4 linked regions of the Arabidopsis thaliana genome follow. The protein of the gene in region 1 purifies or fractionates together with the protein of each later gene. This does not show direct contact. Each region holds a gene or a part of one and is shown in the gene's direction. Other genes may lie near its edges. The genes, in order: SYP21, EMB2296, AT1G76810 and AT2G25670.

Region 1 (5,516 bases):
TCGCTCCCTGAAATAACACCCCTTGTTAGTAATGCAAATTGCAAATGGTCCCAAATATTAGTTGTAAGCAAACTAATTTTACTTATAAATACTCAGAGATACTTTGTCTGGACTAGAGAAGTATAACCATATTAAACGAAGGTTTATAGACATGGATTGATTACTAAATTAACAGTGTTATGTAAGAGTTGAATGCTACTACAATAATATTGAGATAAGAGTGAACCCACAGATAAGAGCACAGCAGTCTCTGCTCCTTGAGTTTCTTTAAATGTGACATAAGCACTATGCTCGTTACTGCTAGTTAGAAAAAGAAAACAAAAACAAAGCTCAGAGTCAGTAAGTTTAAGAGAACTGTATCTAAATTTGCTGAGAAAAAGCTTCGGAAGTTAATTGATCAAAAAAAGCTTTAAATGTCAAAATTTTGAAATCAAAGAACAAGGAAACAATATCACTAACCTTTGGATATCGATGCTTTCAACTTCACCAGAGAAAGAGAAAAACTCTTTAATATCATGCTCAGTTGCTCCTGAAGAGAGATTGCCAACTTTTACTGACCTTACCTGTGACTGTCATCATAAAGAATCAAAAGGGAAAGAATCATTAACGAAAACAATAAACAGGTGTTTCATGAGAATGTTTACAGTACAACTACTTTTTGTATCCAAGCATATCTAATCGACCGAAAGTCCCATTTTAATCAAATCAGCTCAAACTCAAAGAAGCCTAGATTTATCACAAGATTATACAATTATGCAAGTAAAGGGATAATATTATAGTGGCTTAGAAGATGACTGTCATCATCTCACTATACAAAAAGAAAACTCGAATGAACCATGAAGGCTACCAATTAAGGAAACTAATCGACAATGTATGGAGGAATCTAAAAGTAAATTGGCTAGCGAGATTCGGTTCCAAATTGAGAATAACACAATCGCGATTTACTACGATAAACGAAAACCAAAACCGAGAAATCAAGGAGATAATAGAGATAATTGCACGAATACAGATCACACAGAGATACAGAATCAATTAATAACGACAATAATAATCATCAAACTCGTCCAAATAGCATTGGAGATATTATGTCGGCAAGTGCAGCAATCAAACAACAGATCATCCAAATTGAAGAAGAAATCAAATCAATAGCCAAAAATATCAATCCTGAGAAAATTTCCCGATAAACAAATGGATCGCAACAATATCTACCAGCAGAGGAAACCTAAACCTTTTCCGCATAAAACAAAATTATACACAAAAAAAAAGTAGAGCATACCGCCATGGATGTTGATCTTCGAAGTCGCGCAGAGAGAGAGATATGTAATTTGTTGCTTTTGTCACGCAGATTCAGAGATTGGCCTGAAAACCGAAACGTACTTCGAGATCGATGATGCGTAGATAGATAGAGAGGGAAGAGTGTATTTTGCTTTATATGACACCTCACACTCAACGTGTGGGTTTGCGTTACGCCCTTTAATCCTATTTTAGTCCCTAATTGTTTCCAACAATTAATATTTTCACTTTTTTAGTATATATTTCTATTTTTTCCCTCTTCAGTTCAAAACAAAAGTTAGGAGTTTCGTAACACAATTATTAAGTTTATGTTTTATTAGAAAAAAATACATAAAAATTTTACTTTTTATCAACAAAAATATATCATTGTTTTTCTATAAAAAGTGGTTTATGTATCAAAGTGATTACTGTAATTATTAATTCAGTCATAAAATATGATAACTTGGTAATTACAAAAAAGTTGGACTTCTCCTTGTTTTTGGCCCAACTCTTCTCTTTTCCTTTTACTAAACTCCAATGTAGCCCAAAATCATTTAACCAATCCTTATCCTGCAAACCCACTCAATTGGTCCGGTTTACTCGAACCGAGTTTCAATTTTACACGGAAGGGCAGGTGAGGTCAACAACGACACGCAGGATTCTTCCCTCGCAATGGCGTGTCACCGCCAAATAATTTATACGTATTAATAAATTCCCTCCACCACCATATTCACGCGGACCACATGAGATTAAATGATTTATACAAATTATAAAACAAAAATTAACATTAAATTTTGGGAAAACTTATAATTCACCTAACTCATTTCCATCATCTTCGTCTTCGTTTGTTCCCCTGAGATAGAGATAAGAGAATTTCGAGAGATTCGAGAGAAGAGACGATGAGTTTCCAAGATCTCGAAGCTGGTACTCGATCTCCGGCGCCGAATCGTTTTACCGGTGGGAGACAACAGAGACCTTCGTCTCGTGGGGATCCATCTCAGGAGGTCGCCGCCGGGATTTTCAGGATCAGCACGGCTGTCAATTCCTTCTTCCGCCTCGTTAATTCGATCGGAACACCTAAAGATACTCTTGAATTACGAGATAAGCTGTCAGTAGCAATTCTTAATCACACTCTTCTTCTCTTTGTTAAATCTCTGTTGATTAGGGTTTTGGTTTTACTTATTGATTTTGGTCGATTTCATTTCAATTTTTAATTGAAAAAGTTTTCTAATTGTTTTGAAGCTAATCCTGCATTATTTTCCCTTAACCGAAGAACAAATTTGAGTTTGCTGATCGATGTGAGACAACATTGCAAATAATGCCTGACAACATTGCAAATAATGAGCTTTTTGTGTGTGTGTGTGTGTGTGTGTGTATTGAGAAATTGTTTTTTTTTTAGATTGGTTTCATCTATTTGTTCTGTGAATTGTTTTAAAGTGTTAGGTTCTTTTGTTGGCAGGCAAAAGACAAGGTTACAGATATCCGAATTGGTGAAGAATACTTCAGCTAAACTTAAGGAAGCTAGCGAAGCCGACCTTCATGGATCAGCTAGTGTAAGCAAATGCTTACTTTTTTGTTTCATTCCCTTACGATGCTATGGAATGTTAGTGTCTAAGAGAACATTTTCTATTGAACCAGTTTTATTTTGGTTTAATTTTGTCAGAATCGTACCATTTTATTCATTTAGTGGGAGAATTGTTTACATGATTGATGATATGTGTATTCTAGTTTTGATGTTATGTTTGTATTCTTGCAGCAAATTAAGAAGATAGCTGATGCTAAACTGGCAAAAGATTTCCAATCAGTTCTCAAAGAGTTTCAGAAAGCTCAGAGACTTGCAGCTGAAAGAGAAATAACATATACTCCTGTGGTCACAAAAGAAATACCTACCAGGTAACCACTTTGACCAGTTATGTTTCAATACCTGTTAAAAAACAGAAGATCATGGTAAATGAATCTCGTTGTTTCCTAAATGAGAAGAAAAAAAGTCTCCGGATTATATACTCGCATGTTATTATTGTTGTTTTGTACAAAAGAATTTTTGAACGTAGGATTGTTCTGATATTTTGTGGAATGTGAGTTTCACTTACACATGCTTCATTGTCATGCCACACCATGCAGTTATAATGCACCTGAACTGGATACTGAATCTTTAAGGATCTCCCAGCAGCAAGCTCTTCTTCTACAATCAAGAAGGTGAGGAGTGTGATTTGATTATATGCTAGCATGTTATTTTACTAATTCATTTGATCAATTATAAGCATAAACCAAATGTTAGTCTAGCATGCATTTTGCTCTCGAGAGTTCAAATTCAAACCATCGTTACACTTGGCACTCACTGTAGCCTGAATTGTTAATAGAAGCCTTAGAATAGGTTAATAAATTTTTCGAAGTTGGTTATGTCCCTGGATGCAGGGAGATGCTTGCTATTCGCTAACTTTTTATATTCTCATTCCAGGCAAGAAGTGGTGTTTTTAGATAACGAGATAACATTCAATGAAGCAATTATTGAGGAAAGAGAGCAAGGGATTCGAGAAATTGAAGACCAGATTCGTGATGTGAATGGCATGTTCAAAGATCTAGCTCTTATGGTGAACCATCAAGGAAATATTGTCGGTAAGTAACTCCAAACAATCAGAAATTGTAAATCTCCCTGTTCGTTTTCTCTTTGCCTTTTTAAAGTCTCAGAAAAAAACTATAATGTGCACTGGCAGATGACATCAGCTCTAACCTTGACAACTCACATGCTGCAACTACACAAGCCACTGTTCAACTCAGAAAAGCAGCTAAAACTCAAAGATCAAACTCCTCTTTGGTACGGACTAAACAGACTCTCTTCTCATTTTCAGTTCTGTGATTTCATATTCTTAGCAGCTTAAGCTAAGTTTGTTGTCTTTTACTTTGTTGCAGACATGCCTACTTATTCTCATTTTTGGGATTGTTCTACTCATTGTCATCATCGTTGTCTTGGTCTAAGCATCAAACATATAACTCCAAGCTTCAATCTTCAAGCATCAAGCGAATCTATGGAAACTATACAAAGACCCATTAAAGATATATATCTAATGTACAGATTCTTTATACTCCATCTTCCCCATTCAACCAAATTGATCTTAACTTCTCATCGTGTGAATGTTTAATCAATGTATTACTCCATCATAAGGATCTTCATGATCAAAAGAAATAAACATAAGAAAATAATCTTGATTTTTTGGTCATTAACCGGTCAGTGACCAACAGATTACCGTACTAGTGAGATGATAATTGAACAAGATGAACGTTTTCACACAAAAGTATAATATAAACAACACAAAAACCGATCTCTACTAACTATTCACAAGCTTGGTGGTAAATCTTTTATGTTTCTTCTCTCTGTTTTTTTTTCATTTAAGTAAAAATGTAAAGGGTATACACACCATCTGATATATTCCTCGTTCCTTCATATCTCCTTTTGCAACCTCCCCTGAAAATCTACATTGTGAGAGACAATTGATAACTCTCAAGATATACAACAATGCAGAGAAACATGTTTGAACTTAACGATGTTCTTACCTTTATTTCCTCTGTGCTTCTGAGGAAAGCAGTCCCATTTGTTCAGTAAGATACTTCATTTGTTGTTCATTACGGGTCCACTCGTTTGGTTCTTGTTCCAATACCAAGTCATTATTCTCCACTGATCCTGATAGAATATCGTCTGTATCTGCAATCGCTGGGAGTTCAACAGAAAAGAACTGTTCCCAGAATGGATCTTGGATTCCGGGCAGCTTAGGGACTCCCTCCAGTAACTCATTCATCTTGCCCTCACCTTCAGGAGAAATTGCATCGCCTTCTGACTCATCTAAAACAGCCATTATTGGATCAAAACACTCTCCACTATCTGTCTCGCATCCAACTAAATCAAATTCAGGGCTCCAAGAGTCTGCAGGTGCTGCTCCTTGAGCCGGACTTTGACCTATATTTGGCTGAACCAGACCAGCTTGAGGATGATGAGCCAAACTTGCTTCGGGTACTTGATTCGTTGCTGACTGAACTGTGTTGGGTGAAAACTCGGCCAATGTTACTCCAGAAACTCTACTTGAAGGGTTCCCATTGTCTACAGAGGTAGAACTGGGAACATCACCCAATAGGAAACTGTCAGGATTGTTTGAAACTGATTCATACCGAGGTGAGGTACTAGTATTTAAGAACTGTCGAAGCATATTTTGTGCTGCTTCGTTTATCGACGGCTGATATCTAACAATCTG
Region 2 (4,691 bases), on another chromosome or scaffold:
TTCGTATGACAAAGTATCACGGTGTCCATCATTTGACAAAAGTAATGATAGAAATATTACTTAGCATCTTTATAAAAGTAATACTTTCTCTTTTACTAAGATACAGGTTACGAGATTAATCATAAAACACTCGAGTCATAAAACAATTTGTTTTGTTTTCTTTCAACACAAAAGTTTTGCTATACGTGTATTCAATATTTATTTGTCGGTGTGTCAATCACCGTAATTTGACTCATTTCCTTTTACATGTAGACGTAGCAAGTAGTATTTCAAAAGATTTTATGTGTATATATCAATTATATTGAGTCAGATTTTTGTGATGGATCATTATGGTCCTACCAACCAGAGTCCCTACATATACTTGTATCTGTGCGAATTTATAGTTGTTACCTAAGCTACAAAAAAAATTGAAGAGATCTTCCGTAATATAGATGAACTAATTTGATGTCCCATTATGTTTCTCGTAAAAGAAGAAATACATGTGTATTTGACAAGATGGTACATAGACCGCTAAACCATCATGTCCTAACAAAGTAGATTGGTATCATTTGCAAAATATGTCACTTAACATTAATGTTCTTCATTCCTTAATACCAGTCTACTTGATGAGTCTCTCCTCTTTTTGATGAGCTAGTCTCGCACTTTTTTTCATCTCTAACTTTTGTATTTTATGAAATGTTCATAGACTTTATTCAAGGCACATTACTATCATATATCTGGATTTAAATTGCCATACCGTATTCACGAGACAATTTATATGTAATAACAATTTAAAAAATGCATTGTCTGCTCAGAAGCTAGCTTGCCCATATTGTGTGTTCTTCTAACAATTTTTTATTGTTTCTTCTGAGGGTTTTTGCATTAAATATGTTATTGTTGACATCATAGATGCTAGTGGATATATCATCGACGACGAACTCGAGTTGCTTAATAATTATTTCCAGTTTCATACATCATCATCATATTATAGAACATATACCTTTATCATATGTATCTCAAAAATCTATAATCAGCTTGATATTAACTTATTCTAAAGTTCAAATCAGTTTTAACTTTTAAGAAAATATTATGAGTTTTCTAATTTGATTCGGTTTTCGCCGGGTTAACCTGAAATCGGAATCTGGATTGGACAAAGTACAAACCGTGGGTTAGTATTAGTAACATCCAATTTGGGCTTGCCCGTATTTGTCTGCTCAGAAGCTAGCTTGCCCATATTATGTGTTCTCCAAAGAATTGTTTATTGTTATTTTGGAGAGGGTTTTTGCATTAAATATGTTCTTGTGTTGACATTATTGATTATTAGATGCTAGTGATATACCATCACCAAAATTAGAATTGCATTATCATCATTTTATATATCAATCTATATATTTATCATATGACTCAGACTATCATGAGACGCATTTTTTTTAAGTATTATGAATAATATACCACTTGTTCACGTTTTAACGTTTGAAAAACATGATTTTGCTACTTTTTACGATTCAAAGTATTTATTAAGAATTTACGTTCTTGAAAAGTGATTATACTGTATATATAACTATAAGTAAATAAAACTTTTTTCGACGAAATTTCTGATGATAAATAAAAGGTCGGATATATTTGACTTTTTTTTTTTTTTTAATTATTTTTTGACGATAAATTTTTCGTTGAAAAATCATCGAAATTTTCGACGGATTCCAATGATCAAAAATTCGTCAATAATTTCCAACGATATTCTGACTAAACTAAATCTGATGAAATATTTTTGACGGCTTTCCAACCAAAATATTTCGTTGTGACTTGTCAAAAATCCGTTAGAATACTAAGCAACTTTTCGACAGATTTTCAGCAAAAATATTCGGTAATATAACGTGTTAAAAATATGATAAAAAAAAAAACTTGATGAATCTACTAAAACTAAATTTTCAATCATATATATCTATTATTCATATATTTCATTCATTTTATTATTTTTCTCTTAACAATTATTTAGTTATTCTGGTATCGTGTAATTATATTCATATGATTTATTCTGATATTGATTCGGTTAGCATCCGGATAAATCTGGGTTGGGCTTTTTAACTTGGTTTTTCTAAGAAAAATTCTAATATGATTTGGTTAGCATCCGGATTAGTCTAGTTTGGTAGGCCTGCCTTTGTGATTCTTAACTCGGTCTTTTGTATGGGTTTGAACAATTACTACACCATTTAGATTCTTCTGACCCATATCAAATAAAGATCCACTTAGGCCCATTAGGGTTAGAACAAACATGAGGTTGCAGAATAAAAAGGGTTCATTTTCCTCACTCTCAAGTTGGATCTCAAAACCCTAATATCTGAACTTCGCCGTCGAGAGCATCCATGGGTCGTGTCATCAGAGCTCAACGTAAGGGTGCGGGTTCCGTCTTCAAATCCCACACTCACCACCGCAAAGGTCCGGCTAAGTTCCGTAGCCTCGATTTCGGCGAGAGAAATGGTTACCTCAAGGGCGTCGTGACGGAGATCATCCACGATCCTGGTCGTGGTGCTCCTCTTGCTCGTGTCACTTTCCGTCATCCTTTCCGTTTCAAGAAACAAAAGGAGCTCTTCGTCGCCGCCGAAGGTATGTACACCGGTCAGTTCTTGTACTGCGGTAAGAAAGCTACTCTCGTCGTTGGAAATGTTCTCCCTCTTAGATCTATTCCTGAAGGAGCTGTTGTCTGCAACGTCGAGCATCACGTCGGTGATCGTGGTGTCCTCGCTAGAGCTTCTGGTGATTACGCCATTGTTATCGCTCACAACCCTGACAGCGACACTACTAGGTTTGTTTCTCTTATCCAAAAATCTTCTGAGGCTTATAAACATTTTCAGATCTGTTGATTGTTTGTTGTAGATTATGATGATCTTAATCAGATTAATTAGAAAATGCTTATGTATCATTGGTTATTTAGTGTAGTTTATGATGATGTTAATGGAATCATTTCGTTAATTAGAAATGCTTGTGGTATAGTTGTTGTAGTCTTGTGAATGATGATTTGAGTATATGTTTGCGCAGGATTAAGTTGCCATCGGGTTCGAAGAAGATTGTCCCAAGTGGATGCAGGGCTATGATTGGACAAGTTGCTGGAGGTGGAAGAACTGAGAAGCCGATGCTCAAGGCAGGAAACGCGTACCACAAGTACCGTGTGAAGAGGAACTCATGGCCTAAGGTTCGTGGTGTGGCTATGAATCCAGTGGAGCATCCTCATGGAGGAGGTAACCATCAGCACATTGGTCACGCCAGTACTGTTAGGCGTGATGCACCTCCTGGACAGAAGGTTGGTCTTATTGCTGCAAGGAGGACTGGTCGTCTCAGAGGTCAAGCTGCTGCTTCAGCTGCCAAGGCAGACTAGAGTTAAAAGAGATAAACTTTGTTTCTCTTGTTTTCTATGTTTCAAGTTTTGTTGTCTGTGTTTCCTTTTGAACCTCATTCTGAAATCCTAAAAGATTTTTATGATAAACCTTTCTCTCTTCTCGAAAAGCTTATGTTATTCACATTGCATACTCTCAATACGCAAAGTTTTCATTTTGTACATATGAAAATTATGTAAGAACAACGTAACCAATTCTCGTGATCGTTAAAGTGGTAGTTGAATTGCAGATTTTCATCGAAACAGCAGCCCGCCGCATTGCTATCACAAAGAATCAAGTCTTTGGTGTTAGTCGAATTGAAGCAATCTGAAGTACCTAAAAAAAAATTACAAGGAATCTTAAAAACGAATCTTGCAGCAAACCTTCAAAATGACACAGAGGACTCAAAGACATTTATGTGCGTAATACAAGTCTGATTCTATAGTTGATTAGCTGAGTTTTGGTAATGTGTAATATTTGTGTTTATGTGATTGAGATTTACCTAAATTGTCTTTGTCCATCAATTTTTAGCGTTTGAGACTTTGAGGAATTGGTTTTAGTATCTGATCCAATAGCTAGATTTGTGTTGCTCTTGCTCTATAATTGTCTTCCAGGTTGAATATGGTCCAAGGATAATTGGTTATCGTCGGCTCTTAGATGTATTCTGCTCTAGTCATGATTCTAGACAAGTGTTTGGACAAGGTCCTGATGTGGGTAACCAATACAGGTAAAAGAGCTGTTTGGTTATCTTTGAGTTTGTTTGTTTGGCCCAAATCTATAACATTTGAATATATGTTGAACAGATCCTGTATTTTCACTAACTGTACAGAAGAGTTGAGACTGGCTTCTACCAGCAAAGAAAGGGAGCAACTTAATACAAGAAGCAGTATCGTGACTTCTCTCTTGTCGTTGACTCCTCTCTTCACGAGTCTCATCTCCGACGCTTCTTCTCTTTTCTTCTGTTGCTTTGGTTCTCATCTTCATCACACTTATTGCAAGTTTGATCAAAGGCTCAAAATCCAACAAAATTCACCATTTTAGACACCTTGGGAAGCACGTTAGCCGGAAAACCTTGAAAAACCCACAAGGGTTTTCAATGCGCCTCCTTTGGATAATTGGATCATACATACACCATTATTGGATAATACTCTCTTGAGTCATGAAGATTAACAGAAAACAACATATCATCAATAACACAAGACGGCTCTTGCCTCAGATCACTCAACTTATCTATTTCTCTCCTTGACTTCAAATTAGTTTCCCTGGGTTGGTAAGCATAAGAACAGAACCGTGCTTATCCCTCATGTCAAATTTTCTCTTCCATCACCACATATGTCACAA
Region 3 (8,766 bases), on another chromosome or scaffold:
TCAAAATCACCTCTGATTTTAAGATCAACATTATCCCAGCTTTTTGCATCCCATTCATCATCTTCCTCAACCCCATTCTCCTGAGCTACATCAGCAGGTCCTCCTGATTTCTCGCCTAAGTTTGCTGACTCTAGTAAATCAACCTTTTCAGTGTCTGCTGAACCAACTTCACCTAAAGCATGGTTTTCTTTTGGCTCTACCTCACCTTCCACCTGGACAGAAGTGTCATTGCCTTTCTGGCGAGATGATTTTTTCTTGTTGGCATAAATGGGGCGCTTTGAGGAAGTAGCATCATCATCATCGTCTGCAACAGGAAGACCTCCACCAGCAGCAAGCAGCTGGTTCTTAAAAGCCTCCCTCTTTTGAGCTTCACTCTTTTGCTTTGCAGTTAGAAGCTTGCCCTCTAGCTTCTTCCTCAACAGTTTCTCCTTTTCCTTTTCCTTTCTTTTACGCTTAGCCTCCTCAGCTTGAGCATCAAGCTCTTCCTGCCTGCGGCGCTCCTCTTCCTCCTTCCTCAATTTTTCTTCTTCTTCCTTCTTTTTTCGCTCTTTGGCTTCTTGCCGACGTGCAAGAGCCTCTTGAATCTCTCTAACATGTTTAGGAATTTTCTTCTCTGCTGCTTTACCCTTTGCATCCTTCTTCCTCGGCTGTAGCGGCTCAGTTACTGATTCTTCTTGTTTTTCCTCCTTAGCCTCTACAGAAGAGGTTGCCGCAGCAGCAGCAGCTGCTTTTTTTTCCTTTTCTTTCTCCTTCTTCTTTTTCTTTTTCTTGGCTGCAGCAGTCTCAACAGTCTCCTCTTCTCCTTCTCACCGGTATTCTCTACAGGTGCAACTGGCTCAGGCTGAGCTTGATCTTTCTCTTCTTCGGAAGCAGGCTTTCCAGCAGCAGGAGTTTCTCCAAGTTCTGCCAGAAGCTTGTCCAAATCATCATCTTCCTGAAGTGTCCTTCCACTCTTGTTCTTCTTCTTATGTTTCTTACTCCTTGCCGATTCTACAAGCTCCACACTCTTAGAATCAGAAGTTTTAGATTGACTACTTTCTTCATCACCTATTGAGGCCAAGACACTGCTGCTCTTCTTTTTAGATGATTTTTTCCTACCTGAAAACGTGATATCATTATCCTCTGCTTCCTCCCTGTTATCTTCATCAGCAAGCAGGGCAAAGCTAACAGAGCCACCGTCTTTTTTACCTTTCGACTTCTTATTATTCCCTACAAAAGCATTATCCGGAACAACCTCTTCCTCCACCGCAAACTTATCAGCAAAATCATCGTCGTCATCCTGCTGCTGCTGCGTACCCTTCTTATTCCTTTTCTTACCCTTCTTCTTCCCAGTGATAACAACCTTGTTTTCCTCAACTTTAGGCTCCTCAAGACATATTGAGTATTCATCATCATCAATTTGAACAGATTTCTTATCAGATTTAGAACCAACGAGAGATGACGCAAGTGGTTGCTCATCATCTCCACCTCGAGAACTCGGCTCCTTCCGACCCATGGATAAATTACAGAGCCGGTTCCAAATTCTTTCCGGCTAATCAATCAATCCAGGTAAAAAAAAATTAGTTTTTTTTGAGGATCGGCACAAAGGACACAGGAGATGAGAGAATCGAAGAAGCTTACCTTACGTGAGTAATCAAAGCGAGCCGTTTGAGAGAGAGCAAAAACTCTTACTTCATCACTAATCTAATCCTTTTTTTAATCTAATTTCTCAACTCTAATTCCAATCCATTATTAGCCCAATTATTAAAGCTCCTCTCCCAAGCCCAATATTCAAAACCCAATTTACAAACATTAATCATTTTCTTCTAACAAGCCCAAATTCACAAAATCAAAAGCAAAAGAAAAAGGAATAATATATCTGCCCCGTTCTCACCTGAATGGCTGAATCAATCATAGACAGTCGAAAAGTGTTTCTACTAAACCACACAAGCATGAATGTTATGCCTATCTAACAAAAGTCAGCTAAAGAAGCATGTGTCCATTGTTGAGGATGGAGAGAGATGAGTCAAGATCAGAGATAAGCCAAAGGTTCATGTTCCATGATACCTGAGCTGGAGTGAGATCATACTTCACTGACTTGCCCGAAACTAGAAAATTTTCAACGACCGCCACGACTCTCCGAGAGAAACCCGGTCTCAAGCAATCTCCCTTGCACGCGAGTGGCAATCCTAGGTCTTTTCAAGCAATTACGTTTTCTTTTGTTCCTAGAGAAACGAATCGAGAAGCTCATGCCTTAACAAAGCTCTCTCTTAAAAACTTCCAAAAACAAAAAACATTGGATGCGGATATGTTTTAGAAAAGTATTTCAAACAAATCATAACGCGAGAAGATTATTTTTTTAAATGAATACTTTAAACAGCTAAATCATGCTGATTTCCCTTATTTTAGTCCATATTAATAAAATTTATGTGTCTTAATTATATAAGTTAGATTTCAGTATATTAAAACGTGAAAATTACAACTGTTGAATCCCATTCAGAAATTACATTTTATAACAAAGAATATGACATATCTTTTATTTTAAAAGAAAAAATAACACTATCGAGAAAGAAAACGGAGAAAAAAATAGTATTTAACAAACGTCACAATTTTTTTTTATTAGAATCGGTAAAATCTACACAGCGTTTAGCTCAACCCTAGGAAGCTTCACGCCGGTTTCTCAAAGCTTCGCTATTTCTCGGTTCTCTACTCTCTCTCTCTCTCTCTCTCTCTCTCCGCGCCGCGCTCTCTCTCTCTAAACTTAGCTCAGCCTATCGATTAATTCCTCTCCGGAATAAGGTAAAGCTTCTTCGATTCTCTCCTCTTAGCCACAGTATCGCTTCCTCGTCTCTCTTGTGGTTTCATTTTCTAAAAGGATTGTGTTGTGCCGATCCCAGAAAACCTAATTTGTTTCCGTTCGAATTGTAGGAAATTTCACCTCGATTTATTGATTAGTCGGAAGAATTCGGAACCAATTCTGAACCAGACCTGAAATTTTCCAATGGGGCGGAAGAAGCCGAGTGCTCGAGGTGGAGATGCTGAGCAGCAACCTCCTGCGTCATCTCTCGTTGGTGCTACTAAATCTAAGAAGAAAGGTGCTCAAATTGATGACGATGAGTACTCAATAGGTACTGAGTTGTCTGAGGAGTCTAAAGTTGAGGAAGAGAAGGTTGTTGTTATCACTGGGAAGAAGAAGGGTAAGAAAGGTAATAAGAAGGGTACGCAGCAGGATGATGATGATGATTTTTCTGATAAGGTTTCGGCTGCGGGGGTGAAAGACGATGTTCCTGAGATAGCTTTTGTTGGGAAGAAGAAGTCGAAAGGTAAGAAGGGCGGTGGTTCTGTTAGCTTTGCCTTGCTTGATGATGAAGATGAGAAGGAGGATAATGAATCTGATGGTGACAAAGATGATGAGCCAGTTATAAGTTTTACGGGTAAGAAGCATGCGTCTAAGAAGGGTAAAAAAGGCGGTAATTCATTTGCCGCTTCAGCTTTTGATGCACTTGGTAGTGATGATGATGATACAGAGGAAGTGCACGAAGATGAGGAAGAAGAGTCTCCTATCACCTTCTCTGGTAAGAAAAAGAAGTCATCTAAGTCTTCGAAGAAGAACACTAACTCGTTTACCGCTGATTTGCTCGATGAAGAAGAAGGGACTGATGCTTCAAACTCTAGAGACGACGAAAATACAATTGAAGATGAAGAGAGCCCTGAAGTAACGTTTTCAGGTAAGAAGAAATCTTCTAAAAAGAAGGGCGGCAGTGTTTTGGCCTCAGTAGGTGATGACTCAGTTGCAGACGAAACTAAAACTTCTGATACTAAGAATGTGGAGGTTGTGGAAACTGGAAAGAGTAAGAAAAAGAAGAAGAATAACAAGAGTGGAAGGACAGTACAGGAAGAGGAAGATTTGGACAAACTTCTTGCAGCACTTGGAGAAACCCCTGCTGCTGAAAGACCTGCTTCATCTACGCCTGTAGAAGAGAAAGCAGCTCAGCCTGAGCCAGTTGCACCTGTGGAGAATGCTGGTGAGAAGGAAGGAGAAGAAGAGACTGCTGCTGCGAAGAAAAAGAAAAAGAAGAAGGAGAAAGAGAAGGAGAAAAAAGCAGCAGCTGCTGCTGCAGCAACCTCTTCTGTAGAGGTTAAGGAGGAAAAACAAGAAGAATCAGTAACTGAGCCACTACAGCCGAAGAAGAAGGATGCAAAGGGTAAAGCAGCAGAGAAGAAAATTCCTAAACATGTTAGAGAGATGCAAGAGGCTCTTGCTCGTCGGCAAGAAGCTGAAGAGCGAAAAAAGAAGGAAGAAGAAGAAAAATTGAGGAAGGAGGAAGAGGAGCGCCGCAGGCAGGAAGAGCTTGAGGCTCAAGCTGAGGAGGCTAAGCGTAAGAGAAAGGAAAAGGAAAAGGAGAAACTGTTGAGGAAGAAGCTAGAGGGCAAGCTTCTAACAGCAAAGCAAAAGACTGAAGCTCAAAAGAGGGAGGCTTTTAAGAACCAGTTACTTGCTGCTGGTGGAGGTCTTCCTGTTGCAGATAATGATGGTGATGCTACTTCCTCAAAGCGTCCCATTTACGCCAACAAGAAAAAATCATCTCGCCAGAAAGGCATTGACACTTCTGTTCAGGGGGAAGATGAGGTAGAGCCAAAAGAGAATCAAGCAGATGAACAAGATACTTTAGGTGAAGTGGGTTTAACAGACACTGGAAAGGTTGATTTAATAGAGTTAGTAAACACAGACGAAAATTCAGGACCTGCTGATGTAGCTCAGGAAAATGGGGTTGAGGAAGATGACGAAGAAGATGAATGGGATGCGAAAAGCTGGGGTACGGTCGATCTTAACCTTAAAGGTGATTTTGATGACGAGGAGGAAGAAGCTCAGCCTGTGGTTAAGAAAGAATTAAAGGATGCTATATCAAAGGCGCATGATTCAGGTTAGTATGAAAATTTAGTTCTTTGTTCTTCCTAGTGTTCCATCCATTGTCTGATTTTTGTCTAATCTTTTGCATTTCTACACAGAACCTGAAGCTGAAAAACCAACAGCTAAACCAGCAGGTACAGGCAAACCACTAATAGCTGCCGTAAAAGCTACACCTGAAGTGGAAGATGCTACACGGACAAAACGTGCTACCCGAGCAAAAGATGCCTCTAAGAAGGGTAAAGGCTTAGCTCCAAGTGAATCTATTGAGGGTGAAGAAAATCTCCGCTCTCCCATTTGCTGCATCATGGGTCATGTCGATACTGGTAAGACAAAGCTGTTGGATTGCATCAGAGGAACAAATGTACAGGAAGGCGAGGCTGGAGGTATTACTCAGCAGATTGGTGCAACATATTTCCCAGCTGAAAACATCCGAGAGAGGACCAAGGAACTGAAAGCCGATGCAAAACTCAAGGTGCCAGGTTTATTAGTTATTGATACACCTGGCCACGAGTCCTTCACGAATCTGCGGTCAAGAGGTTCAAGTTTGTGTGACCTTGCAATTTTGGTGGTGGACATAATGCATGGGTTAGAGCCACAAACCATAGAATCTCTAAATCTTTTGAGGATGAGGAATACAGAGTTCATTGTTGCATTGAATAAGGTAACACTAATTGTCATTCTGCGAGGATGGGATTTTTTTCTCTGTTGCAAAACCTATATGGAAAATAATATCTTCACCTTCCTCCAGGTGGATAGGCTATATGGATGGAAAACATGCAAGAATGCTCCTATCGTGAAGGCAATGAAGCAGCAAAATAAAGATGTTATAAATGAATTTAACTTGAGGCTGAAAAATGTAAGTTATAGGTCTAGAGTTTCTTATTGTATGGTTTGAGCTATCAATTTGTGTACATGTTGTTCAAATTATGTTGTTTCATTGGTATTCCAGATTATAAACGAGTTCCAGGAGCAAGGACTTAACACTGAGCTTTATTACAAGAATAAAGACATGGGAGACACTTTCAGTATTGTTCCTACTAGTGCTATTAGGTATGAATCTCTATTTACTGTTTGTAATATACAGCGTAACAGACAAGTTATTCATCCTAAACGTAATTGGGTAACGTTGGTTCTTGATATTACAGTGGAGAAGGGGTCCCAGATCTCTTGCTGTGGTTGGTTCAATGGGCTCAGAAAACAATGGTTGAGAAACTTACATATGTTGACGAAGTGCAGGTCTCTTTCCTTTCTCTTTAGGTAACACTTGTTTCTGCAATACTTCAGCATGCGGATTTCTGATCTTTTCTTGAAATTGTTGAACAGTGTACTGTACTTGAGGTCAAAGTTATTGAAGGCCATGGTACAACGATTGATGTTGTGTTGGTAAACGGTGAACTCCATGAAGGTGATCAAATCGTCGTTTGTGGGCTACAGGCAAGTAAAAAACTTATGATCCAGACCCGAACAAGTGATGGCACTGGGTAGACATAGAACTTTTCTAAGTGATCATATTTTCTTCCTCATATTTCAGGGACCTATTGTCACAACAATTAGAGCATTACTGACCCCGCATCCAATGAAGGAGTTACGGGTGAAGGTACTTTCTGATTTCCACTTCATGTGTTTTATTACTGTTATTCCCCAGAAATATGGTTCATGCAAATCACTTCCTAGGTTCTTTTTCTATACACAATGAGAATTCCTGGTCTGATGTTTCAGGGTACTTATCTGCATTACAAAGAAATAAAGGCTGCACAGGGTATCAAGATTACTGCCCAGGTGAAATGGACTTCTATATTCTTTATTAAATATACTTATGTTTAGATCACATCCTGAACCATTTTTGGGTTGTGTTTAAAAGGGCCTTGAACACGCAATTGCTGGTACTGCCCTGCATGTGGTTGGACCTGATGATGACATCGAGGCAATTAAGGAGTCGGCTATGGAAGATATGGAGTCGGTTTTGAGCAGAATTGACAAAAGTGGCGAAGGAGTTTATGTACAAGCGTCTACATTAGGGTCATTAGAAGCATTGCTTGAATACTTGAAGTCCCCAGCTGTAAAGATACCTGTAAGTGGTATTGGCATAGGGCCTGTGCATAAGAAGGATGTAATGAAGGCAGGAGTTATGCTCGAGAGAAAAAAGGAATATGCTACAATTTTGGCTTTTGATGTGAAAGTTACTACAGAGGCTCGTGAACTTGCAGACGAAATGGGAGTTAAGATCTTCTGCGCTGATATCATCTATCATCTATTTGATCTGTTTAAGGCTTACATTGAGAATATCAAAGAGGAGAAAAAGAAGGAATCAGCCGATGAGGCAGTCTTCCCATGTGTCCTTCAGATTTTACCTAACTGTGTGTTCAATAAGAAAGACCCAATAGTCCTTGGAGTTGATGTCATCGAGGGTATACTTAAGGTATCTATGCTTTTAATTTCCTACATTCTCTGTAACTCTCACCCATGATGACACAAGTGCTAGGGTTCACACTTTCTTATCTGTCTTGTTTGTTTTCAGATTGGAACCCCCATTTGCGTCCCTGGCAGAGAGTTCATCGATATTGGCCGAATTGCCTCGATTGAGAATAACCACAAGCCTGTTGACTATGCAAAGAAGGGCAACAAGGTGGCAATAAAGGTAATAATTGGATCATTCTGTTTTAACAAGGTTGCAAATCTTTTGCTTACAGAGAAGAAAAGAGTTATGTTTGCTGCGGTTTCAGTTTCACGCCTCGTAATCGATGGTTTCTTTGGTATACAGATTGTTGGTTCGAATGCTGAAGAACAGAAGATGTTTGGAAGGCACTTTGACATGGAAGATGAGCTAGTGAGTCACATATCGAGGAGATCTATCGACATACTAAAATCTAACTACCGGGTAAGTGGAGAAAATGAGCTTGTTTCCCCTTTTAAATCATCATTTTGATAGGAAAACTGATGTAGATCAAAAACCCAAACTAATTTGCAGGATGAATTATCGTTGGAAGAATGGAAGCTAGTAGTGAAACTGAAGAACATCTTCAAGATACAGTAGGAGATTCAAATGTCTACTTTGGAGCTTGAAACACTCTCACATGCCTTGTTATGCCGTGTCTGCGTCGATGCAGAACAAATAGATTCGTCTTCCTGCTTCTAGCGGAGAAGCCTTCACAGAAGATTTGAAAGAGAGACAAGAGAGAGTTTTTGTTTTTGGTTTATTTTCTTTCTTTTTTTGGTCTTTCTCCCTGAAAAGTGCTGAATAATTGGTTCATGAACCTTCATGCTGGCAAATTGCAGGGGAAAGAAGAGCCTTGGGTCTTGAGATATACCACATATCATCTTTATATATGCTTTTTTTGACTTATTTCCATTTTTGTTGACAAAGGAAAATATTCGAATAAATGTTTTTGTCCAATTACTATGTTCTCTGTGGTGTCAAATCTTGAGTTTCCGTTAAGGGAAAATACTTACAAAAATGAATTATCACATCTAATATCAAGTTACAGTCATGAAGTTTTGGTGAAAGCTCATCTTCGTTTATCAAAATATACGTATATTATAAGATTATTTGTTGAAAACAAATATTTTGATTTCGTAATAATATGGAATGTGTAACTAAAAGCAAGCTGCTCCTCCTTTTATGGAGATGTGAAAAGCATGAATGCAAATAATACATAAGATTTGTAGTATACGACAAGAGTTTTAAAGCAGCTCTCTCTTTTATACTTTATAAATGTTGTCGAGATCATTGATATGTTATGTTCATTGTTATGAATGATATGTATTAAACTCTGGTCCATTGCTTTACTCTATGTAATATGATACTTTATATTTCCGAAACGTTTTATTTCTTCCGTCTATTCGTAAATGTTTAATTGGTTCACAATTCTAATTGA
Region 4 (5,394 bases), on another chromosome or scaffold:
GGGGAAGGCATCGAAAAAGGTATCTTCGATTAAATAAAAAAGGTACATGCAGAGGCCTGATTAAGGGCATTCTTATTATAGCGAGTTACTTTCTATAGATTTAAGCATAGTTATAATTCGATTCGTGTTTGAATTTTTCGCAACCTATAGCTAGTGCTGCCGCACTGTTTTCAGCCTATTTGGTTAAATGGCGTTGTAAAACTTTTTCAAGCTGGTTTATCTGGGCTTATAATATTTTACTTTGAACCCAAACTTTAAGTATTTTACTATTTTCCTAATCTAGATTGTGTGTCCTGGAAATAGTCATTGATAAGAGAATATTAACCAAATTGATCACTTTAGTCAATGTGATAAGTGAAATTAATTAAGTAAATAAATTATGTACATAATGACATACCATATAAGTTATTTAAATTTACGGGGACTATAAGTTAACTAAATAATATAACGAAAATTTGCGGGAAATAAGTTAGGGAGATTTGCAAAACTACCATTTTTTTACTACCCTTTTGCAACAATACCCTTTTATGTTGTCCATTTTTAAAATCACCCATTCCCTTGAACAAAATGACCAAATTACCCTCATCCAATAGAAACATATAATTGAAACACTTTTAAACCCTTTAAAAATCTTTAAAAATCATTTGTAAATCTTTTAAAGCCCTTTAAAATCCATTGTAAATATTGTAAACCCTTTTAAAAACCCTTGTAAATATTTTAAAATCCTTTTAAAACAATTTTAAATCCTTTGAAAATCTTTAAAAGACCTTTGTAAATCTTTTAAATCCCTTTAAAATCTTTTGTAAATCTTTTAAAAACCTTTTAAAATCCCTTGTAAATCACCCTTTTAAAATCCCTTGTAAATCTTATAAAACCTCTTTAAAATCCCTTGTAAATCTTTAAAACTCTTTTAAAATCCCTTGTAAATCTATTTCCCGCCAAAAAAAAAGTTTGGCGGGAAAAATATTTTTGAAAACAAAATTTTGGCGGAAATTTTTTTTTCGAAAATTTTTGGCGGGAAAATTTTGGCGGAATATTTATTTTGGAATATTTTAGGTGAAAAAATATTAATATTTTATTTTGTTAACCTAAAACAATTTCCAAATAAGGGTAAAATGGTCATTAAAAATTTAAAGAAGGTAGAAATAAAAATGGATAAAACAAAAGGGTAGAGTTGAAAAGGTGCATCATGAAAAGGGCATTAAAAAGAATTTTTCAATAAGTTAAAAAGACTTTTTTGAATTATTTTCTATAGATTTAAGCAAAGTTATAATTTATGCACATAATGACGTATCATATAAGTTTATTTAAAATTTCGCGGGAAACAATTTAACGAGATAATACAACGAGAATTCACAGGAAATAAGTTAACAAGAATTTGCGAGTTACTTCTTATAGATTTAAGCAAATTTATTTCGGTTCTTATATGAATTTTTGACAACCTTTGTGGAATCTTCTCAAGTTAGTTTATGTAAAAAAATTGGCTAAACTATTTAACTTTTGGAACAAAAATTTGAAGAACATGACAGTTTCTTTAAGTATTTTACTATTTTCCCAATTTGAATCCTTTGTATTTCCAATAGTTTCTTTTAACCCCCAGAAATGTTTGGGCTAAACTGTATCATCCTAAAACACATTGATCAAAACCAAGAAAACATAAATTGTTAGGTATCAAAACGTAAATTAACATAACCAATATAAATTCAGAGACACGAGCTTTTTAATGGCTTCTCTCCTCGCGTTATCTCCTTTTGTCGATTTAGCCCTAACCTATACGGCTGCTACATCCAGATTTCCTCATCCTCTATTAGGGAAGAAGAACCAAAACCCTAATCCTATCTTCTCCTCTTATAAATCGCTTCAACAACAGTTTCTTTCTCTTCTGATTTGATCCATGATTTCTCATCTGGAACCCTAGTTTATACATCCATCGGGTGTTACTGTTCTTTATCTGGGCAATCAGTGGTTAGTCAAAAGTATAGGATTTTCATTTAAAGATTTGATTTTGCGTTGAAATCGAACGAACCCAGATTTCATATTTTGTCTCTGTTTTGGCTTTTTTTATCTTTTTAGGTGTTTTTGTTCCTTTTGTATATCTGTCGAGACTTCTAGGTGTGAAATCAAAGCTTGTTTGGTTTATATCGATCTTGGTTTTAGCTGAATCGTTGTTAAGATGGCTGGAGGTGGAAACAGGAGAGATGAAGGATCGATCACGATCCAGAGCACTAATTTGTTTGCAGCATTGGACACTCGTAAGAAGAAGAAGAAGTCTGACAAGGCAGGGAAGAGCAAAGGGTCTTCTAAGTCACGAGAGCCAGAGAAGGAGCCTGAGCCTCAGGTCTATTGGGCTCCTACGCCTTTGAAAGTTAAGTCTTGGGCTGATATTGATGATGAAGACGACGATGATGACTATTATGCAACCACTGCTCCTCCTCAGTCTGGTTGGAGTACTTCTCTGCCTTCCCATACTGATTCCAAAGACGTTCATGTTGAGGTCAGAAGTCTAAACATTTTATGATTTTGTTGCGATTCCTAAATTGGTTGAGAATGGATATGATGGTTCTGTGTCTATTGGTTAACGATTCTCTTTGTGACTGGGAATTCTGAGAGCTGGTTTCTGTTCTAATGTTAATTTATCTTATGCTTATGGCTCTAGTTAGTTATTACAAAAATTGTTTGTGTGTGGTGTCTATTGTCTGAGAGAAGAGGATTTGTTATTGTTGCTCATGTTGCTTTATCCTTCCTGAATATTTTTCATTTGTGTGTTACCTATGTTGTGGTAGCACATGGTTGTGTAGGTTGACTTGTGTAAGCGTTAGTTCTTGTCCAGATTGCGTGTGATTATCTTGGTTGCTGATGGGATTATCTTGGTGTGATTGTCAGGAAAGTGAAAGTGAGGAAGATATTCTTGATGAAGGTGATGATGATGTGGAGGAAGAGCAGGAACAGGAAACAGAGGTACAGGTTCATCCAGAGCCTGAGGTGAAGAAAGCTCCTGAAGTTCCTGCACCTCCTAAAGAGGCAGAGAGGCAACTTTCCAAGAAAGAGAGGAAAAAGAAGGAACTTGCTGAGCTTGAAGCTTTGTTGGCTGATTTTGGAGTTGCCCCCAAGGAGAACAATGGCCTAGAGGAATCTCAAGGTACACTTGTCTTCAATCAATTTTGACATCTGTAATAATACTTATCACGTATTGGCACAGCCATTGCAACTGATATTGCTTAGTTCCAGACAGTTGTGCTCTTTAATAGTATTAATGTTTTGTGTAGTGTCACTATCTTGCTGAGAAAATCAGCATGTTTGATATGTCTAGCAGTTTTGCTAATTCCGATACATTGCATGTTCTTTTTACAGAGGCTGGACAAGAAAAGAAAGAAGATGTCAATGGAGAGGGAGAGAAGAAGGAGAATGCAGCAGGTGGGGAGTCAAAGGCATCAAAAAAGAAGAAAAAGAAGGATAAGCAGAAGGAGGTAAAAGAATCTCAAGAGCAACAAGCAAACAACAATGCCGATGCTGTAGATGAAGCTGCTGGGTCTGAACCAACTGAGGAAGAATCTCCAATTGACGTCAAGGAAAGGATAAAGAAGCTTGCATCCATGAAGAAGAAGAAGTCAGGCAAAGAGGTGGATGCTGCAGCTAAAGCTGCTGCGGAGGAGGCAGCTGCAAGACGTAAGAAGCTGGCCGCGGCAAAGAAGAAGGAGAAGAATCACTATAACCAACAGCCTGTGCGGTAAAATCCTGAATCACCACCATTTTGATCTTGATGGAAATGCAAATATGAACATGTATTTCGCCGTATATTGTTCATATGAGTCTCTGTCCTAATAAATCTTTTGAAGGGTCTGGTTCTTAGAGTTAAAGACATTGAATCCTTTTTCTAGTCTTATTACAATGAACAGGCTAAAGACAAAACTACTCTCTGGAGATTTTCATTTCTTTTTGAAACACCTTTGTTTTCTTAATATCAGACCTTTTTTAGGTTCATTATGTCTTCAATCAGCTTCTTATGTATGGTTCGATGGTGTTATTTTCTTCTTTTTTTCGTTCAGTTGCCTGTGTTTTGATTCATGCCTTGTCACAAAATCTTTTTTGGTTATATGTTCCAAAGTGATTCCCCACTTGAGGGTAATGTATTTTTATTTTTGCAATCACGAATAATAACATTAACCTGTATTTAGTCTACTATGCCTAGTTCATCAATCAATATTTAGACTCCACCTGAACCACAACCGCACTTGATTGTGCTTCGTTAACCACACTTAAACGTGCTTGACTCGACCTAAAAGTCTCGATTTGAACCCCTAAATTAAGTTCCTTTGCTAATTCAGTCGGCCCAAGTGCTTTCTTTAACTATCATAACTCTGAACCATTCTCAATGTTAGTTCATGAATGCATGCATGATCATATCCATTATTGTGCCATTATTACCATCCCATTTCCCTTGATCAGAAAATCTCTTTATCATTGATCACAGTTGAGTTGTGTAATCCACGCACATGGTGATATGGATCAAGTTATTGAATTTCCTTTCTCATGCGGTTAAGAAGCATGTTAATCAGTTGTTACTCTTTTTTGATGTTTATATTTTCTTCTTGTTCAGAAGCATACCGTTTTGCCCAAAAATATGTGTTTGTCAACTATGAACACAAAAATATATCTTGTCTAGATTGGTCAAATATGTTCGTCTGTAATCTTTAATTTGTTATCAACATGCAAATCAAATCAGCTGTATGTATTAATATCGTCTTGAATATGTACTATACACTGAATAATTTACTTAACTATGTATAAAATATGACACATTTTTGATATGTACATATCTAGTCGAATTTTTGTAATGATATTTACTATAGGATAAATAAAGTATTACCTAAATAAGGATTTGATGTTCATATTGTGAATTTTTGAAATTGATAAAAATTTGGAAAGGTCAATGTCCTCATGGTTGGACCGGATTAATCTGGTAATCGGAAAGATATTTCGGTTCTCTTTGAGAATCGGGTTTAGAGTTATTGGTACGGCGTTATCAAATTCGTGAGTGGTTTATTGCGGTTGAACCGAACCACATTAATAAGTTGTAACAATTCACAAGTTTTAGACGCAGCTTGCTTCTTTCTTCTTCTTCCTTTCCCTATCCTCTGCATACACGAACTCGTAAGCTTCTTCGATTCTCTTCTTAAACCACTGATAATCTCTTTCTGATCCCATTCTAGAAAAACTTGACCTAGATTAATCAGAATTGATTCGAGTTGGTTGCTGTAATATAGAAGAAACTTTTGTTTCCCCACACATTCAGAACCAATTCAATCTATGTTAAGATTCTCAGAAGTGGGTTGTCTTAAAGTCTGAAGCTTTAGGGGGCTAAGAGTCAGACTTCTTGGTCCCCAGCAGATGAGC

Evidence for each region.
Region 2: the proteins of SYP21 (region 1) and EMB2296 purify together in Arabidopsis thaliana (affinity purification with mass spectrometry, with the first as the bait; one large-scale study listed by BioGRID). This does not show direct contact.
Region 3: the proteins of SYP21 (region 1) and AT1G76810 purify together in Arabidopsis thaliana (affinity purification with mass spectrometry, with the first as the bait; one large-scale study listed by BioGRID). This does not show direct contact.
Region 4: the proteins of SYP21 (region 1) and AT2G25670 purify together in Arabidopsis thaliana (affinity purification with mass spectrometry, with the first as the bait; one large-scale study listed by BioGRID). This does not show direct contact.

Annotation. Positions count from the first base shown.
Region 1 is NC_003076.8:5,531,808-5,537,323, reverse strand, and holds SYP21 (syntaxin of plants 21), read left to right. Parts: upstream 1-2,028; 5' UTR 2,029-2,171; coding exon 2,172-2,380; exon of another isoform or gene 2,381-2,731; coding exon 2,732-2,825; intron 2,826-3,028; coding exon 3,029-3,165; intron 3,166-3,393; coding exon 3,394-3,468; intron 3,469-3,730; coding exon 3,731-3,888; intron 3,889-3,986; coding exon 3,987-4,087; intron 4,088-4,182; coding exon 4,183-4,248; 3' UTR 4,249-4,478; downstream 4,479-5,516. Other genes in the region: BPA1 (binding partner of acd11 1), read right to left, coding at 1-7, 231-300, 460-569, 1,277-1,282; HSF3 (heat shock factor 3), read right to left, coding at 4,827-5,516. UniProt on the Arabidopsis thaliana protein: May function in the docking or fusion of transport vesicles with the prevacuolar membrane.
Region 2 is NC_003071.7:7,834,809-7,839,499, forward strand, and holds EMB2296 (Ribosomal protein L2 family), read left to right. Parts: upstream 1-2,258; 5' UTR 2,259-2,342; coding exon 2,343-2,782; intron 2,783-3,015; coding exon 3,016-3,352; 3' UTR 3,353-3,668; downstream 3,669-4,691. Other genes in the region: AT2G18025 (uncharacterized protein), read left to right, coding at 4,008-4,077, 4,154-4,188.
Region 3 is NC_003070.9:28,830,525-28,839,290, reverse strand, and holds AT1G76810 (eukaryotic translation initiation factor 2 (eIF-2) family protein), read left to right. Parts: upstream 1-2,542; 5' UTR 2,543-2,778; intron 2,779-2,907; 5' UTR 2,908-2,980; coding exon 2,981-4,904; intron 4,905-4,989; coding exon 4,990-5,552; intron 5,553-5,639; coding exon 5,640-5,747; intron 5,748-5,840; coding exon 5,841-5,941; intron 5,942-6,036; coding exon 6,037-6,127; intron 6,128-6,214; coding exon 6,215-6,325; intron 6,326-6,422; coding exon 6,423-6,488; intron 6,489-6,610; coding exon 6,611-6,670; intron 6,671-6,752; coding exon 6,753-7,310; intron 7,311-7,409; coding exon 7,410-7,529; intron 7,530-7,652; coding exon 7,653-7,769; intron 7,770-7,859; coding exon 7,860-7,925; 3' UTR 7,926-8,389; downstream 8,390-8,766.
Region 4 is NC_003071.7:10,927,399-10,932,792, reverse strand, and holds AT2G25670 (uncharacterized protein), read left to right. Parts: upstream 1-1,702; 5' UTR 1,703-2,173; coding exon 2,174-2,494; intron 2,495-2,883; coding exon 2,884-3,139; intron 3,140-3,351; coding exon 3,352-3,731; 3' UTR 3,732-4,207; downstream 4,208-5,394.